Linked DNA regions of Notamacropus eugenii. The protein of the gene in region 1 interacts with the protein of each later gene in a pairwise test. Links are inferred from orthologs where the notes say so. Each region holds a gene or a part of one and is shown in the gene's direction. Other genes may lie near its edges.

The links. The genes of interacting proteins can lie anywhere in the genome.
Region 2: the proteins of ZBED1 (region 1) and LRRC20 interact in binary tests that used the Homo sapiens proteins (3 or more experiments, as listed by UniProt). The two-hybrid records come from large-scale screens. The link is inferred for Notamacropus eugenii from reciprocal best matches to the Homo sapiens genes ZBED1 and LRRC20.

Annotation. Positions count from the first base shown.
Region 1 is NC_092876.1:395,061,247-395,064,992, forward strand, and holds the start of ZBED1 (E3 SUMO-protein ligase ZBED1), read left to right. Parts: upstream 1-1,130; 5' UTR 1,131-1,146; coding exon of another isoform or gene 1,147-1,255; intron 1,256-1,286; exon of another isoform or gene 1,287-1,307; intron 1,308-2,497; exon of another isoform or gene 2,498-2,703; intron 2,704-3,746. Other genes in the region: DHRSX (polyprenol dehydrogenase), read left to right, coding at 1,147-1,255.
Region 2 is NC_092872.1:258,715,813-258,719,558, forward strand, and holds the start of LRRC20 (leucine-rich repeat-containing protein 20), read left to right. Parts: upstream 1-1,232; 5' UTR 1,233-1,341; coding exon 1,342-1,520; intron 1,521-3,746.

The DNA of each region.
Region 1 (3,746 bases):
TGTGCTAAGCACTGGGGACACCAAAAGGGGCACAGAGACAGTCCCTGCCCTCAGGTCGGTCCAGTGCTGAAGGGACGTGTCCAATGGACCCTCTCTAAGGAGAGGGCTGAGGTTTGATCTCAATCAATCAATCAGTCACTAACCTTTTATGTGCCAGGTACTGTGCTAAGCACTGGGGACACCAAAAGGGGCACAGAGACAGTCCCTGCCCTCAGGTCGGTCCAGTGCTGAAGGGATGTCTTCACTGGGCCCTCTCTAAGGAGAGGGCTGAGGTTTGATCTCAATGTGCCAGGTACTGTGCTAAGCACTGGGGACACCAAAAGGGGCACAGAGACAGTCCCTGCCCTCAGGTTGGTCCAGTGCTGAAGGGACGTGTCCAATGGACCCTCTCTAAGGAGAGGGCTGAGGTTTGATCTCAATGTGCCAGGTACTGTGCTAAGCACTGGGGACACCAAAAGGGGCACAGAGACAGTCCCTGCCCTCAGGTCGGTCCAGTGCTGAAGGGACGTGTCCAATGGACCCTCTCTCAGGAGAGGGCCTTCTCGTCTTAGCGACCACCTTTCCAAGGCAGCCCTTCACACGGCACCCCATTCCCCTACCTTTCTCCTCAGCTTCAGCCCCTGGCTTCTCTTTACGGCTGCCTACCTCCCCCAAACTCCACTTCCAACACCTCTTTGGTCTCCTGGAACGACACCCAAAGAGAAGAAGGCTGGCTGGTCCCCACTGTTGGGGTGGTCCCCACTGTTTGGTGGCCAATGCCCAGAATCACCCTATCGGGCTCCGGGGGTGGAGGAGGGGAGGGGGCAGGTTCGCGAGCGCGGACTTGGGGTGACCTGGAGGAAGCCAGGGCGGCCCGAGCCAGCCCCGGGGGGCGGAGGCGGGGCCGGGGTGGGGAGCGCCCGGGCCCCGGCCCTCCTCCGGCCTCGCCCCCGGGCTGAAGGTGAAGGTCTGGGTCCCGCGTCCAGGCTCTGGAACCGCCGCCGCCAGCGGAACTGTGCAAGAGCGGGGCGCTCGTTTCCGCTGGGTGTGGGCTCCGCCGAGCGGGCCGTCCCTGCCCGGAGAGAGGCCGACTTCGCCGCCGCCGCCCCTCCCGTCTGCGCGGCGGAGAGGAGGAGGAAGAGGAGGAGGAGGAGGAAGGGAGCAGCCATGTCGCTATTGTCTCCGCTGCTCCCGGCCTTCAAGGTCTATTACATGGGCGTTCTCGTGGTCCTCTCGCAGCTCTACCGGCGCTGGCGCTACGGCTTCTCTCTGCCAGGTTAGCGACCCAGCCCGGGGCGGCTTCCTCGGGGCTCTCCGGGAGGTGTCAGGTGCGGCCCGGGAGGGTGTGTGTGTGAGTGTGTGTGTGAGTGTGTGCGTGCGTATGTGTGAGAGTGTGTAAGCTGGGGGGAGGCGGAGGAAGGAGAGAAGGTGTTCTTTCTTGTTCCTCCTTTATCACGGAGGCGGGGGGAGAGGCAGGAGCCTGAATCTGGGCCTCGCTTCCTTCTTCTGGCAGCCTCCGAACTTTCCTCGGGTGGGGGTGTGTGCGTGTGCGTGCGTGTGTCTATGTGAGTGAGTGTGTATGTGTGTTCCCCCCCGCCGCGCTTTTGCTTCTCCCCGAACGCTCCGCAGTCTTCCTACCGGACCACCCGGCCAGGATGGAGTGGTCTGTTTTGTTTTCAGAAACGGCAGCCCGGACCTGGGGAGGGGGCAAAGGTGGGAGACAGAAAACTTCCCTTTTCTGCTCCTCTCTCCAGTCTAGGACCCTGGGGAGCGGAGGAAAGGGAGGGGAGGAGGGCTGGGTTTGCAGCCGCTGCGCCCCAAACCTTGACCTTGGCCTGGCCGAAAACAATGAGTTTTCCGTCCCCCTCCCCCTTCCCCTTCCCCACTAGCCCTGCGGACCCCTGTGGGGCTGGTGCGTAGTTTGGCTTTGGAGCACGTTAGGCGGGGCCTGTAACCTCCCTCTTCCCCCTCCCCCCGCCGCCGGACTGGAGCTGGAGGGGTTTGCCAGGGGGAGGGGGAGGTTGGGCGGAAGCGCGAACCACCGGCCCCCGGACAGAGTTCGGAAGCCGGTCTCGTGCGCAAGCGCCCCAGTTCCTGGGCGGGCGGGCTGGCTGGCTTCTCCCGGCCGCACCATCACCGTTCCTCGCTGCCTGGCCCTGCGCAGGGGCCCCGGCTCGGCTCCTCTGACCCCGTGGGCCCATCTCCGGCCTATCCCTGGCAGCTGCCGGGCCCCTCCTCCTCCCGTCTCCACCCCTCTTCGCACCCCCACCCCCCCTCGCCTTGCACACTTGGCCGACCTGGCCCTTCTGCTCGCAGAACCCCCTCCCTTCCCTCCCCAAGCTTTGTCTCGGCCACTTTCAGGGTCTCTTCTTGTTTTGTTCTTGAGGGCTGGCAGAGTTGGGCTCTTTACGGTTTGGCTTTTCTTTTTTTTAAAACAGTGCTAAATCCTTTCTAAGAAATAGCAACCTCTTGTTTATCTGTTTTGGGTTACAAATCTCAGGTCGTTTTCCAACTCCAGATTATTTTTGGATGTGACAACCCAGGGCATGCCTGCAGTATGTAACTTAGACCAATTTTACCTGGCTCTCTTGCCCTCCTCCTCCACTCTTTTGAGTTTGCTGCCGAACTGCACAGTCAGCATTACCACCTTGCTCTCCCCACTTGCCCATGTGAAGGAAATGTGGGTTTCCAGAGAACTTTAATATTGCCGCAGCTGAGTTGTAGGTAAGGACTGGATTCTTAATGCATGACTACAACAGAAATGAAATTGACAGTTTGCTACTTTTTGAAATTGACAAGGGATGAAGGCTGGGAATGGGTAAAGAGAGGTCATAACCTTTGTAAGTTTCTTTATGTGAAATGAATGAAATGTGAAATGAATGAATGTTCACTTTGGAAAGTCCACATGCCATCGCACCGAGTTAATTGGATAAGTTTGTTTTTTTCACTTTATTTTCTTATCCTTAAAAGAATATGTAAAAATGTTTAAAATGAGGTCGAATTCCCCACTCTTCTAAACAGATTGTAGAGCCTAATTTAGTTTAAAAGTAAGCTAAACATTTTTCTAGCCTTAGTTTTTCTGACTAGAGGAATTGGGGCATTCACAACCCCATTAAATAATACTTATAAAATCAGTTGTAATTAGAACATAATAATAGAAAACGTATGCCATCCCCCCTCCCCACTTTAAAGTATTATAAATTACTAGGTCCAGCTGGTACTTTGGGAAATATTGGTGGTGTTATGAAAATGAGACTAGAAACAGAAATTGTTTAGTATAAAATAGGACAGAGAATCTAGTACTGGAAGACTTGTTAAAACTTTTTGAGAAGGAATTCATTCCTTGGTAAAGGATATCATTAAATTTAGAGGAGGTAAGTAGTAGACATAATATCTCTTAAGTAATATAGTTGAAATAGCCATGTTAGACTTGATTATCATGCATCTTAAAAGAAAAATATTAAAAAACCAATTGTTTGTGAACTTTTCTACTTAAAGATAATATAATTGTCAAGAGACAGTTTGCAATACAGCACATACTTCAGAAAATTACATAGGTTTCAGAAGTTTCTTAACTGCTACTAACATCTCAGAGGAGCACAATCTAAATAAAATATATATGTATATAATATATATTTACATATATATAGGTTAAACAATTAAAAGGGGTGCTTTTTTTAAAGTTGATCATCCCCTATTGATTAGAATAGTCTTATGATGGGGTATGAAAAATTACTATTGTTTAGTTTATTCTTCAAGATCCATAC
Region 2 (3,746 bases), on another chromosome or scaffold:
GGATAGCTCAGAGAATAGAACCAGATCATACCCTTTGCTCTCTATTTTACTGGATCCTCAGTGGCAGAGTAGATAGAAAGCAGTATTTAAAGTCAAGAAGATCTAGGCTTAAACTCTGATATTAACCTCTCCCAGCCTCAGTTTCCTCATCTTTAAATGGTTATAGTCACTGCTCTTATACCACAGGGTTGCTGCGAAGGTCGGATGAGATAAGATGCCTAAAATGCTTTGCAAAGCTTAAAACGCTCTGTGAATGTTGGCGCTATCCATTACCGCAATGCTAAGCCTGGAACATCACTCATACGTGTGGTGTCCCCCGCTGCAATGCAGCTCCTTCAGAGCAGGGACCTTCTTGCTTTTCTTTTGGTATCTGCAGCTTGGTACTTAACACTTTACTTAATATTACGTACTTAGTACTTTGCACAGAGAAGGCACTTAATATCCTTCCTTCCATCCATCCACCCAAGCACCTACCCATCCATCTGTCCTTCCCTTTCTCCCTCCCTCCATCCACCTTTCCATCCATCTCTCCATCCCTCCACTTACTTACCCACTCCTCAATCACCCTTCCATCTACCCACATCCATTTACCCTTCTATCCATTTACCCATCTCTCCGTTCATCCACCCATCCACCCCTCCATCCATATCTCCCTTCCCTCACCCCTCCTTCCCAATGGTTCCTTTCTCCCCCAGCCAGGGAGGTGCCCGAGGTTGCACGGAGGGGGGAGGGGAAGGGGAGGAGGGAGCGAGCGAGCGAGCAAGCTGTTCATTCTCTCGGTCCTTTTCTCTTTCAGCCCAGGTGGGGCTGGGGAGCACTGATTGGCCGCCCGTAGACTAGAGGCGGGCCTCCTGCGGTTCTCGCGGTCGCTGATTGGTCGGGGCTAGTTTGCGCGTGCCCCCGACCGCGCGTTTCCCGCCCCCTTCCCCCCTCCCTCGCGCCGGCCAGAGGAGGGGGCTGGCAGCGGGTATCGAGAGCCGGAGTGCGGCGCAACGGTCGCCGGGGGCAGGCGCCAGTCTCGCTGTAAGTGGAGGAGAAGGCAGACCCTGACGGGCGGTCCCTCTCTGTGCCCTGGCCAAAAAAAAGAAAAAAAAAGAAAGAGGAAGAGAGGGAACCGCCGCGTGACGTAGACAGCGCGAGGAGACCTCGGGGAGGGGGAGGGGTAACTGCGGAGGGCGGGGGAGGGCCGCCCGCCAGGCCCCGCCCCAGGTATTGCCCCGCCCTCAGGCCTGGCCCTGCCTTTTAGGGGAGGAACCGACGCGAGCCGAGTCCCCACCCCATCACCCAGCCTGGCCCCGCCCCCAGCCTAGTTGCTGTCCGGGGAGCCCGGCTCTAGGGGTTATGGGGGGGAGGGCGGACTCCAGGAACTCCCGAACCCCAGCTTGCACCCCTGTAGCCCCTGAGATCACCTTAACATCCTGGCCCGGGAGCGAGAGGCCATGTCCACCTTCCTCATTTGATGGGTGGAGAAACAGGGACTTGTCCAAGGTCACACAGTGTGTCCAGCCGTGGGACCCTGGGTGAGTTGCTTCACTTCTGCCCCCCTCAGTTTGGCCCCAGCCTCCCAGGAATGTTGTGAGGATCACATGAACTATTTGTAAAGGCCTCTGCAAAGCTTAAAGTGCTAGGTAGATGTTAGCTACCGTTCTGCCCCCTGAGGTCCTGTGAATTTGTTTGTTTTAATTGGTGATATTGGTTTCCTTTGTAATCCTGTCTATTTTACTTACTGCATTTACAAATGTGATTCCGAGCATCACCAGACTGGTCATGCTGCCTCTCTGACTTAAGGATCAACCCCCTGACATTTTCCAGGTAAGGAAACTGAGGCCCAGAGAGGGGAAAGGATTTGACTGGTCGTCTCCCACCACAAATAGCAGAGGGGGCATTTGAACCCAGGTTTTTTGCTGTTGGGTTCTGGGACTCTTTGTCCCTTACTATCTATCCTAAAGGCCAGTGCCTTGGCTGGACTATGGAGATGAATAGAGAGCCCTGGAAATGCTTTTGTTGGGTTGAGGGTGAGGATTGTGGGAGGGCAGTGTTGGGGGTCTTCCTGGAGCTGGGTAATTTAGGCAGGAATTCTTGATCAAGTTATGAAGATTCAAATACTGTTGTTCTGCCCACTCTAAGGTCCATTCTCAGGCCTGGGAAACTGAGGCAGCTTAGTTTGGGAGCTCCTTTACTCAGCTTAGACTCCAGGAATGGTCAGCTTCCTGTTTGTTAGCTTTGTTTTTGTTACAGGGTCCTATTAGAAATATTGGCACCCTACAGTGAGTTCTGGGAAGGATGAAAGCATGTGTCATCCTGCTTGGGTCTCCCTGTGGCTGCCCAGGGGCTCAAGTTTCCTGTGCCTGTACCAGTAACTAAACATAAGAGCAACTGGTGACAAGAGGGGGTGTTGGAGACCTCTCTTTTGCATACATCTCTGGGTTTTGGGGACAGAAGAAGGGCTGCCGTAGGGCAGCTGGTCCTCACTTATTTGGATCCTGGACCCCTTTTGCCCAGTTTGGTGAAACCTATGGCAGCCTTCTCATGATCATGTTTGTAAATGCATGAAGTAAAATACAGAATATTACAATGGAAACCAATTAGATTGAATTAGAGTTATCAAAATATTTTTTAAAAACCAATTCACTGGACTCCCAGATTAAGAACTCTTGTCCTTGGGAGCAGAAATACGGCACTGAATTTTCTGTACCCCTCAGCCCATCTCCTACAGTTGTACTCTGTGAAATCACTGAATTTCATTCGCCAAATATTTGACAAACTCCTCCTTCAGGCAGGGCCTTGGGGATGCAAAGATAGATGACACAGGTCCTACTCTCTAGGAATTACAATTGAATAAGAGGAAGACAGCTCTCCCCACACCTGAGTGAGCTCTAGAAGAGAGAAGTGAGTGTGGAAAAGAGGGTAGGCAAAGTGCTGAGAAACTTGAGGAGGGTCAGTTCAGTTTCTGCTGAGGGTGGGTGGATGGCCAAGGGCAAGGAGGCTCCTGGAGGAAGTTCCCCAGGATTGCGCCTCTAGGGGGAGGCCATTTTAGGCATGGAGGACTAGATTGATGGGCAGCTTGGGGGAAGGGTCTTTTGGTCCTTCCTTTGGTGATGTGGTCTGAAAATGTGGGCTCACTGTGTGTAACTATGTGTGTATGTATGTTTGTATATACACACACACATATATATAGTATATGTGTGTATATGTGCATATATGCATCTATATATGTATATATACATGTATGTGTATACATATATACATGTGTATATCTATCTATCTGTCTGTCTGTCTATCTCTCTATCTATCTATATTCCTAAGGTGTTTGAGAATACTAACTAGGGAGTTCCTGGCTCTGCTGTGTGTGACTGCTTCCCGGACTTGGTGCTCTAGTACTGGGCCTGGAGTCAGGGAGACCTCAGTTCAAATCCTGCCTCAGACATTTAATAGCTCTGTGACCTGGGCCAAGTCATTTAACCCTCTGGCCTCTGGTTCTTCTTTCAGTAAACTAGAATTTCCAGTGAGGAAACCCTTCCCACACCAGTGCTGATGGACAACTGTTCTATATCCAAGGAGAGTTAGGTAGCTTTGGGATTTGAACTCAGGTCCTCTGACTCCAAATTCAGCACTCTCATCATTGCACCAGGATTCAGGCAGACAGAAAGACATTTCTCTGGATTGGGAAGTGGGTGGGAAGTGAGAAAGAGGAAAACACCAGGTGTTTCTCTAGTGTTTGACTGGACTGGGTTGGAGATAAAAGG